Arabidopsis thaliana: one gene and its partners. The protein of the gene in region 2 interacts with the protein of the main gene of each other region in a pairwise test. Each region holds a gene or a part of one and is shown on either strand. Other genes may lie near its edges. The genes, in order: NAC041, AGL98 and AGL36.

Evidence for each region.
Region 1: the proteins of AGL98 (region 2) and NAC041 interact in a two-hybrid assay, tested with the Arabidopsis thaliana proteins (one large-scale study listed by BioGRID).
Region 3: the proteins of AGL98 (region 2) and AGL36 interact in a two-hybrid assay, tested with the Arabidopsis thaliana proteins (one large-scale study listed by BioGRID).

The regions. Positions count from the first base shown.
Region 1 is NC_003071.7:14,179,164-14,182,924, reverse strand, and holds NAC041 (NAC domain containing protein 41), read right to left. Parts: upstream 1,948-3,761; 5' UTR 1,651-1,947; coding exon 1,467-1,650; exon of another isoform or gene 1,403-1,466; coding exon of another isoform or gene 1,390-1,402; coding exon 1,136-1,389; intron 1,047-1,135; coding exon 678-1,046; 3' UTR 486-677; downstream 1-485. UniProt on the Arabidopsis thaliana protein: Transcription activator of the mannan synthase CSLA9. Recognizes and binds to DNA-specific sequence of CSLA9 promoter.
Region 2 is NC_003076.8:15,936,688-15,940,048, forward strand, and holds AGL98 (AGAMOUS-like 98), read right to left. Parts: upstream 1,772-3,361; 5' UTR 1,658-1,771; coding exon 1,298-1,657; intron 1,221-1,297; coding exon 591-1,220; downstream 1-590. Other genes in the region: AT5G39800 (Mitochondrial ribosomal protein L27), read left to right, coding at 181-249; NAC094 (NAC domain containing protein 94), read right to left, coding at 2,613-3,086, 3,176-3,361.
Region 3 is NC_003076.8:9,341,646-9,345,406, reverse strand, and holds AGL36 (AGAMOUS-like 36), read right to left. Parts: upstream 1,623-3,761; coding exon 522-1,622; 3' UTR 396-521; downstream 1-395. UniProt on the Arabidopsis thaliana protein: Probable transcription factor.

The DNA of each region.
Region 1 (3,761 bases), on a different chromosome or scaffold from region 2:
ATTATTGATTTTGGGTGATTTATATTTGATAAATTATTTTATATTGGTTGAATCGGATATAGATAGATAATCAATGATGTTTTAGTTAAAAATAAACAAAAATTAATTGATTTGTTAATTTGTGCCAAAACTAAAATATTAATTTACCTTTAAACCAATTTATTCTAACCTTTTACTAATTTATTTCAACCAGACATGAGAGTTTTCTTATCAATGTTGTGATCTTTTACAGTATGGGTAAAAAAGTGTTGTCCAAAAACTTAGAAACAACCCAACAATTGAAAGAAATAATCATTATGCATTTTCTATTTTTAACATATAATGCTTTTTCAGATATCAAAATAAATGAATTTGTGTTGTTTGGGTATATGATTTTTTCTATAAAAAAATGTTCCACATTTTTTTTTTGTAAGAGTGATCTTTAATGTAGTGTTAGTCTCTGATTTGATTGCTTGAATTGTTAGCTAGATGGTTGGTCCTTGTTGTTAATTGACACTCATTAACAAATTAGATATTTGATCAACCAGTTTTCAATATTTGATACAATTAGATAAGCTATAAAATATGGCTATTAATTACCAAAACCAAGAAAGACTCCTGGATTGCATAATTAACTTTGGAAACAATCATAATCTAATTTATTAAAGTTAATAGAAGTTGTTCCCAAGTTTGTTAATCTATAGAAACAAACAAAACTTATTTTCCCGATAACTGATTTCTTGACGATTATCATTAGAAGATGTGTGAGTTAAAGCACTTGAGCAAACAGACGACGAAGAAGTCGAAGAAGAGCAACAACAACAAGTAGCAGGAGTCAAATTCAAATCACAGCATCTTCTTCTCCTTCTCTTTTTCTTCGTGTCTTTTCTCATAAAGTCATAAAATATGGGACAAGTACTCTTCTTGTTCTCCTCCTCACGTTCTCTCTCTGTCTCTGTCTCTTTCTCATTCTCCACCTCTTCTTTCTCATCTTCTTTCCTCTTACTATTACTATTGCTTCTCTTCTTCAAGAACACTCTACACAAAACCCAATTCATGTTCTGTCCCTTTTAAAAACACATTAAAATACACTTTTTAGCCAAGTTTTTATCCAACTGATTGATGAATCTAATTTATTTGAATTTGATTCTCTTACATATAATGAATCTTGTTGTGAATCAACAAGACGATATTCATGAAGAACCCAGTTAGTTCTTGTTCCGTTTGGTGGTTTACCTTTGTAGAAAACAAGAGTTTTCTTCATCCCCACGACAAGCTTCTTCTTACCGATCTGCTTATCGAGACCAGTCGCTTTCCAATAACCCGAACCGGTAGACCGGTTCGACCGGTTTCCGTTCGGGTATTTAGCTTCCCTCGTGCTAAAAAAATACATCTCTGATTCACAATCACCTGTGATCATCATGCATATACACCATCAAATATTGAATTTGAATGAAACCCTAGAGTAGATTTTTCAATTTCTGTACCTGGTAAATCCCATGGATCGGATTTACAAACATCGGTTTCCGGTATTACAGAAGCTGGTAAGGGTAAACCGGTTACTTTTCGACGTAAATATTGAACCACTAGCTCTTCATCGGTCGGGTGAAATCGGAACCCTGGTGGTAATCTAAGTACTCCTCTGTTTTTAATAGAGCTCCTCTTCTCCATCTATCTTTTTAATGTTTGAACCGTAGAAAGAGAGACGAAAGAAGATGAGAGATTATTGAAAATGGAGAGGTAAAGTTTGGCTTATTTTATAGCAATGATAATGGGGTTGATATCGTATAATATTCGAAATACTTTTTCTTTTGAGCCATGTCGTAATGAATTGAATTTGGTAGCTTTACTATTTTAGAGTAGGGTATTGCTCTCTTTTTAATAATGTTTTTGGCACATAAAAAATTGTTTAAACTAAAACAAATACTATAACATTTTCTTTAAAGATGTGATCACCATATATATAACAAGACCTCATGAGTTTTTTTTTTTTTTTTTTTTTTGTATCAATGTTAAGTACTTATACTATTTTCACAAGTTTTTTACCGAAGTTACAGCGAAATACAAATTACATAAAAGATCAAAAACTAAGTAAAACAACAAAACTACATCACAACACAAACACCAGGGAGTACAAGCAAAAACTCAACGAGTAGAGTCTCCGGAAAAAAACATTACTGATTCTGAACCGCTCGGACATCTTGTCCTGAGCTATCTTGTCCTGAGACACTAATGTTTGCTAACCAACGACTTCCACCCTTGAATCACATAGTGTGAGGTAAACAAATTAGAGATCATGTTCATTCATTATGCATCAACAATTAACACACCTCATAACACATAGATAACACGACTAATATATTAGTAATTTTTAGTATTAACGATCGTTAACAATATTATTAGAAGATTAAGTTAGTTTGTAGTTATGGCATATGTCGTATATGTGCTACGACCAATCGTAGACAAAGATGCGTATGCAACTGGATTTCGATTATTCAATTAAAAGAGATGTGATTTCATGGGGTCCATGAAAGTGACAAATGCCCTGCAGATTCCTCTACTCCATCGCATGGTCCAATCATCTTTTCCTAATCCAGATAATAAATTACATAACCCTGTTATTTGGTAAACACTTTTAGCGTATATGTTTATATTTTTTTCTTTCTTCTTTTTGTCAACCATTATAAGTATGGGTTTCTAAACCAACACGTTATTGAATCTATATAGTCTTACGTAAAACGAAAGAAAAGAAATTCCAAAACGGTTGGCTTCCTACAACAATTTATTTATAGGAGATGAAATTGAATTGACGTGCTTTCATCAAGTCTTTCCATTTCTGTTCTACGACTTGCTAATATACCTAGCTACATGGCATTTTAATTGTGTTATAGTTTTTATATTTGATTGGTGAATGAATCTATAAAAAGAAAAGCTCATGTTATACTCGCAAAACGTCTTTTAAGAGATGTGATTAATTCAGGAGCTCAAACAAGTTGCCAGGTATTTTTTTTGATAAAGGGTATAACAAATTGTCAAGTTGCAATAACTTAAGAGAGCAAAAGTGGTAATGTTGTAGAAGAACTTAACAAGCTAAACAAGTAAAAGATGCAATTAGGTAAATGCGTAAATCGCAAGGAGAATGGAGAAGTCAAGAGGGCATTTAGTTGCTTCTAAAGCGACTTTCAATTGCTTTGTCCCACTATAGATCTCCTCCACATTAACTTCATTTGTCTCACACACTTTTCCGTACACACCTCCTAATCTCACAAAAGACTAAATTGCCTCTAATACAATTCAAAGACCACGAATGAGAAAATCACATACTAAGTGGTACAAAAGAAGCGTGATTAGTGCGGAACATAAAGAATTACTCGTACGAATGACGACTATAACAAAACAGCAGCGGATATAGAAACTAAGTTTTGTTGTGTTCAAACATAATTTATTTATCAACAAGTGAATACTATATAATTTAACATACGGTTAATGTAGTTGAATCGTATCGTACATTAGTGTACAACTTTTATGTAGAATACCAAATACAATGGGTTAGTTTGGCATTAAAGGTAGGGCCCAAAGGAGGGACAATGGGAGACTTCAACAAATGCCGGTTGCGTGAGGAGAAGGTAAAGGTCATGTCTCTTGTCCAAATAATACAATGTGGATTTGTCGTCAACGAAATCCATATCGACTTTTTTTTTTTTTTTTTTTCTCTTCCATATGTTCTTGTTGTATGTCTCAACATAATATTATTTTTAGTTGCGGTCAATAATTGGGTTGTA
Region 2 (3,361 bases):
ATCTTCTTACAAGTCTTGTTGGTAGAATCTCCTTAGGTTCATCCTGATAATTATCTTGGTTTGTTCTTGTTGTAAGGTTTTTGAGTTAGGGACCTGAAATGGGAATGCTTACTTAATTACATTAACCTTTGTTGTGTGATTTAGCTGCTCTGCTGATGTATATCTATTTGGATTTTACAGCTGAAACCATATGTATCTCAATGCCCGATACAAGTCAACACAAACGAGTCAACTGAAGCTTCCAAGTGAAAAATAGTCAGTCAGAAGATATATATGTTTTTAAGTCTTCTTCATAAAGCTTTAAGTTATGATTATGTTCTTCTATTGTCCGTAATCCTTATGTGCTATTCTTAAAATGGGAGATTTGGTTTGATATTTTCACGAAACGATATGCAAAGTAATTGGTAACATGTTTATGCAGTGGAATATATATTCACTTGATAAATTGGATGTTCACATAGTAAAATAGCTTGATACAAGAAAACATTATGCGTTATGCAATACTTAGCAAAATAAACATCAACAACATATTAAAATTCTTACGAGAAGATGAAAAAACAGTCTCACACTCTCTTGAATGAGCTTTGTTATCAGAGAAACATCGAGTTGTCGATAAGAAGGTTGTTGTTGGTAATATCACTCGTAAACAGGTTCTGATCATAACCACAAGGAACATGCGGCATCAACCCATAGTTGTTGTTCACAGATTCTTGTACCGCAGGAGCAGAGTGATCTTGTGTGTTTGAGACAAAAGAATGTTGGAAGTTGTTGTTGTTCATAAACATGTTCTGATCATAATTACAAAGCTCCTGTTGCATCAAGCCAGATTCTTCTTGTAGTAAGGCTGAGAACTCTTGATTGAAATTTGATGCAGAGAGTGGGATTTGAGAGAGCGTAGCATCTCCATTGTTACTCATGCACATGTTCTGCTCATAACCACAAACCTCCTGCTTCATTATCTGACTCTTCAACTCAGATTGTTCAAGTAACGCTGAGAAATAATCCTGATTGAAATTTGATGCAGAGACTGGGATCTGAGACAGAATATTATCTCCATGGTTATACATAAACAGCGAAAACTGGCTAGGGTTCAAAGATTGGGTCTGATTATTCAGAGAGGATGATGCTAAACTCTGATGATCCGGTTTTGTCTCCTTATGTTTCTGCGACTCAACAAAACGAATCCTTTCTCGGACTTTAGAGACATGAGGTTCTAAGGACTGAATCAGTTGAGAAATTTGGTCAGGAGAGTAATGATCAGCAATTGGATACTTTAAAACATTCACGTTCTTCAGACAAGTCTTTTCAAGTCGTTGTCCTTTATCTTTGCTTTCTTCTCCAAGTTCGTCTTGTTCTTCTTCTTGTTCAGGAAGTCATAAAGAGTAACGCTCTTCTTGCGTCTCAAGGCTTCGTTTAGTTGACTATACCTGAGAGCAATGTCTTCCACTTTCTCTCGCTCCGGAGGCCATGTCTTGAGTTCTCCGTCTGGTCCGTAATAGATGACGCATGCTTCGATATCACAGAGAGTGCAAAGCTCTGAAGCTTTCCTGAAGATGGTCTCAAGTCTATTGCTCAAACTTGTTGAAGCGAGTGAATAAGAAGAAGACGAAGAGGAATTGGAACAGCCTGAGGAAGAAGGTAAAGATCGAATGGCCATCTTCTTGTTGATTTCGAAGACAATCTCTCTATTTTTTGTTTCACGTTCAAAGTGAAGAGAAAGCACGAAGACGAATGAAATTGAGAGAGTGAAACTACGAATTAGGTTTAGGAAACCCTAAGAAGATGATGAAGAATATGAAAGTCAGAGACAACTTTGTGAAATAGCGATATACTTATAGAAAATTTGGTCCTTAAAGTTAGATTTTTTATTTTTTTTTCACTCTTCTAATCGGTAAAACAAAGCTTGTGAAGATTTGATTTCCATATCTTTTGCATAGATTTGTGTAATTTAGCCGTTAAGGACTGATAAAAAGGAAATAGTTTTTTTTTTCTACTCTCACTCTCTTTTAATTAATAAGATCTATAAAAAAGAAAGATTTGCTTGTCCATATATATTTCAGATACCCTTTGTATCATTATGTAAATAGCTCTTAATTAATAATATAATTATTGGATTTGCTAAAAATTTGTGACAATACAATCTAACAAAAATCGACCAAAATACATCCATTTTAAATAAAATTTAGAACCCTCCATTAAAAAATGAGAAATATAATTTATAACTCCGTGTACCTTTTTAATCCATTACTTTGCCATTATTGACATAAATAAAAGATTTTGCAAATTCATATTTTCTTTACTTATTTTCAAAAAAAAAAAAGAAAGCATTGTATCCTCTTCATAAAGAATATGAAATATGGCTCTGAAAAATCCAAAAAAACTAGTGTCATTCAAGAATGAGACTTAATGATTAATATAAAAAGCCATTACAATTATCTATACCAAATTAAGGAGAAGTTGCATGTTCGAAGCAAGTCTTTGTTTTTTTCTTTTTCTTTTCGGCCTTCAAGAAACCAAAAGAGAAGCAACGTTTATAGTAAGACAAGAAAAATTAATACATATTAGCGATGATCAACGTCTACACTAATTCAAGTGTTAATAGTACTATGATCTTAATTGTTAGTGGAATACGACGTCGCCGACATCTCACTCCCCGTAGTCTCCTCCATCACCATTGATCTTACATTCGGAACCTCATGAGTCAACCCTCCAGTCAAGTTGTTGAAGTAGTTATTCTCATTGTTGCTCAGAACCAGAGCATCCCCTGTTCCATTGTTTCTCAGAAACAGAGCATCCCCTGTTCCGTTGTTTCTGGCTGTATTGTACGTGACTCCGAGCATCTGAGACGCGAAGTAAGAAGCAGCTGATTCTGTGAAGCTTGCGGGTTCGTTGACTGGAGAAGGAATAAAGTTTTGTCTTGTTGATATGTGGCTGAGAACGTCTGATGAAGCTAAGAGAGTTGCGGTGTTGTTGTGTGACTGTTGATTGTTGTCAGGAATCGTTGGATAAACCCAAGATTGTGGGATTGATCTTTGTGAGGATACTGCATTTGTCTTCTTAAATATTCTACATATCGCCCAAGCATCCTACAAAATGAAAAAGATCGATTCTAATTTGTTTGGTAACCTAACCTTTGTTGCGGGTAAAGCAAGTTAGGGCAAATCCGATAACTTACGTTTGAAGGAAGCTCCTTGCTGTTGTTGTTATTGTTAAGGTGTTGCTTCTTGTTATTGTAATTGGGATATGATGAGTGATGAGAGTCAGAGAGAGAAGGGAGACGAAATTCATGCATCATCCAATCGGTTTTGACTCCTTTAGCAGCTCGACCACGGTAGAACACAAGTGATTTCTTCAAACCGAT
Region 3 (3,761 bases), 6.6 Mb from region 2:
AATATTAAATCCTAAGAACAAGCACAACCGACTAAACCAAAACATAACGAATAAAACACATGTTAAATCATATTTTCGTAGTGTGAAAAAGGCAAAATCTACAAACTATTCAGAAAAGGACAAAATCCACAGATACCATCCCAAAAAATGGCAAATCGATAATTGATTCAAAGAATAATAGTTCTTACTTTAAATTGCTGGGGAAAACAATTATTCTCTATGTATGGGTCCTAAAAGAATTCAATTGAAAATTTCCGTCTAAATATTGTACCAGTCACATCTTAAATTTTCGAAATAAAATTCTACAATTAAAGTTTCCCACACTACGGTGAGCAAATACATTACTTAATAATCTTTTTTTGGGGGCAAAACATTACTTAATAATCAAAATACATAATTAAGTTAAAAAGAGATCCTTTAACCATTATTAATAAACAACATTAGTTTTTGTCTTTCGAAATGAAGAAAACACAAATACAAACAATTGAACACTTAGACTAGTTCTTCTCCCTCTTTTGTGATTAGAGATTATTGTTGATGTAAGGATCATAGACACCGGTGGTGGAAGGCATGTAACTGGTGGAAGCATGATCAACGGCTGGTAGTTGATTGGATGGTAGTTGATGGTAGTTGTAGCAGTTTCCGTCCACGAAAGGAATGCTTTCACGCCCTCCAACATGATTCATATGTTGTTCCACCATCGGATTCATGAATGATTGTTGTTGATTCAGATACTGATTCGAATTCAGATTCAAATTCAGATTCAAATTTATGTTGTAGAATTCTCGTTGAATCTGATTAAACAGATTATTAGGAGCCTGGTATTGAACCTGATTCATATTCTGATTTTGAAAAAAATCACAAACGTTAGTAGGAACAAGGTGTTGAAACGGTTCATGCAGATTTTGACTCATATTCATATTTTCATATGGAATATGATCAAAAAATCTACTGGAAGCAGTTACCGCAGTTGCGTCCGCATCAAGAAAAGGAGTCATATCGCCCGTAAGAACATGAGGATTGGTAGCATTAAGAGTATCTACAACCCCAGTTGTAGCATGAATAGGAGAGTCGGAAAATGACTCATCACCAATTTCGTCAACACCAATTCTAGTAGGAAAAGGAGAGACGGAAGACAACAACGACTCACCATTTTCTTTAATGGACTCGATCCTTCCGTTAAGCTGATCGAGATATAGATTTATACAAGATTGCAAATCTTGAAGGTCTTTTGCATCATAATGATACTGGGACATTTTGCCTTCAACACAATCAAACATAAATCGTCTAACCTGTAACTCTCGGTTCTCAGCAGCCAGGTTCTTTAGTTGCTCTTTTGCTTTGGTAATCCTCTCCATAAGGTAAGTCTCTTGATCCATCATCTTCTTGGTTCGGGCTGTCGGCGGCATCTCCAGAAACCTTGAAGCCACCTTTTTAGCACCTTCCCTTGACGGCCATGACTCTGGAACCGGTATGAATGGACTGTAGATGAGAGCACAAGCTTGGACACCACACAGAGTTGACAACTCGTGGAGTTTCTTAAAAATCCCGTCTTTCCTCTTTATGAAGGATGTTTTCCTTGATCTTTCATTAGCTATCAAAGATAGCTTCACCTTCTTCATCCCCATCAATTTGTTTTTTTTTTTTGTTTTGTGTGGTTTGTTTAATTTGTTTGCTCAAAGGATGTTTATATAGCAAAGAAAGGTGATTCTATAGACACTAGGATTCTTATCACTTTGGTGGACTAATTAATTCTAAATAACATCCAGGAAATCTCTTATCAATTAATTGACCAGGTAATTCATTATTATCTATATAAAAATATTTTTTCTTATCCAAAGTTTGGTACGTCTGATCCTAAATAATATCTGATGACAAAAAAAAGAAAAAAATCTATCCATGTAATACGAGGGGGCATGTAATATAATATTTTGTATTTCTAAGTTTTGTTTTTATTTTGGCGAATTAATTTCTCTTACTCTCATTGTTTCTTTTTACTAAGAATAATTTCTAGCTTACTTTGTTCTTAAAATATGAAGTTTTGCAATAGTTTTAAGTGATTGTACTTTTAAAATACAGTAATATATTGTCAATGTATATAGAATTGTGGTAAGCTAGAAATTACTCTAAAGTTTGTTATCTAAAGTAAATTTCAGAAAGTTTGTTATCTACAGTAATTTAAAGATGTACTCTGAATCATACAAATAAATTTTTAGAATGGGCAAACAACTTGGAAAATATGCAAAGTACATCTCACAGAAACGCCAAAAACTTTGAATAATTGGTATGAATGCCCTTTCAACACAATCCCTTTTCAGTATTGCCCTTTCTTATTTGTTATTTTCATTTATACCCTTTTTTAATTTTTAATGACTATTTACCCCTATTTAAAATATGTTTTAGGTAAAAAAATGAAATATTGATTTTTCCCGCCTATAATATTCTGAAAAAAATTTTCCGCCAAAAAATTTCAAAAAAACATTTTCTGCCATAATATTTGTTTTAAAAAAGATTTTTCCCGCAAAAAACAAATTTCGCAGGAAATAGATTTACAATGGATTTTAATAGATTTTTAAAATGTGTAAAAGGGTTTTAAAATATTTATAAGGGATTTTAAGAGATTTTTATAAAGTGTAAAAGGTTTTAAAAAGATTTACAAAGGATTTTAAAAGATTTTTATAGGGTTTTAAAAGATTTACAAGTGATTTTAAAAGATTTGAAAAGGGTTTTAAAAGATTTACATGTGTTTTTAAAGATTAACAAAGATTTTTAAAATAATTTTCTAGAACTTTAAAATGGTTCAAAAATTATTAAAGGGTTTACATGAGATTTTAAAAGATTTTTAATGGTTTACAAGGGTTTTTAAAACATTTTGTAAGGGGTTCATAAGAGTTTAAAATGGTTCAAAAATTATTAAGGGTTTTTAAAAGATTTTTATATGGTTTTTAAATAGTTTTCAAGGGTTTTAAAGGATTTAACAAGGATTTTTACAACATTTACAAATGTTTTTAAAATCCTTGTAAATCTTTTAAACACTCTTGTAAATCTTTTAAAATTATTGTAAAAGGTTTTAAAATGTAAAACAAAAGGTTTTAAAACGGGTTTTTAAAGTATTTACATATATATTTAAAATTTTTATAAAGATTTTAATAGGTTTTAAAATGATTTACAAGGGTTTTTAACAAATTTACAAAGCTTTTAAAAACCTTTACAAAGATTTTTAAATGCATGTTTTTAGCTGGAAAAACATTTGTTACAGAGAAAAAAAAATGGCGGGAAAAAAATTTGGCGGAAAAAAAAATATTTTGGTAGAATTTTTTTTTGTCAGGGAAAAAATAAATTCGGCGGGAAAATTTCAGTTCATAAATTACATGTTTCTCATTAGATGTGGGTAATTTGTTTGTTTTGCTCAAGAGAAAGAGTATTTTTAAAAATGGACTACATATAAGGGTAAAATCAAGAGTTTAATACATTAATATGACTACATGTATTTATTTATTAATAATGACATATAAAAAATTATTTATGAAAATTATTTTTATTTAGAAAATATATGCATAATTTGGGTAAAATCAAGAGTTTAATACATAAATATGATTTTTGTCTTTTTTTTTATTTGTAAAATTATAATTTATAAAATCATGTGGATATTATATCTTTTGGGGCATTGACCCGATATTATATATTTTTCATTGCACTTTTAGAAATAAATTTTACCAGCTAATAATGAAGAGTAATTTAGCTGGCATTACCCTATTTTT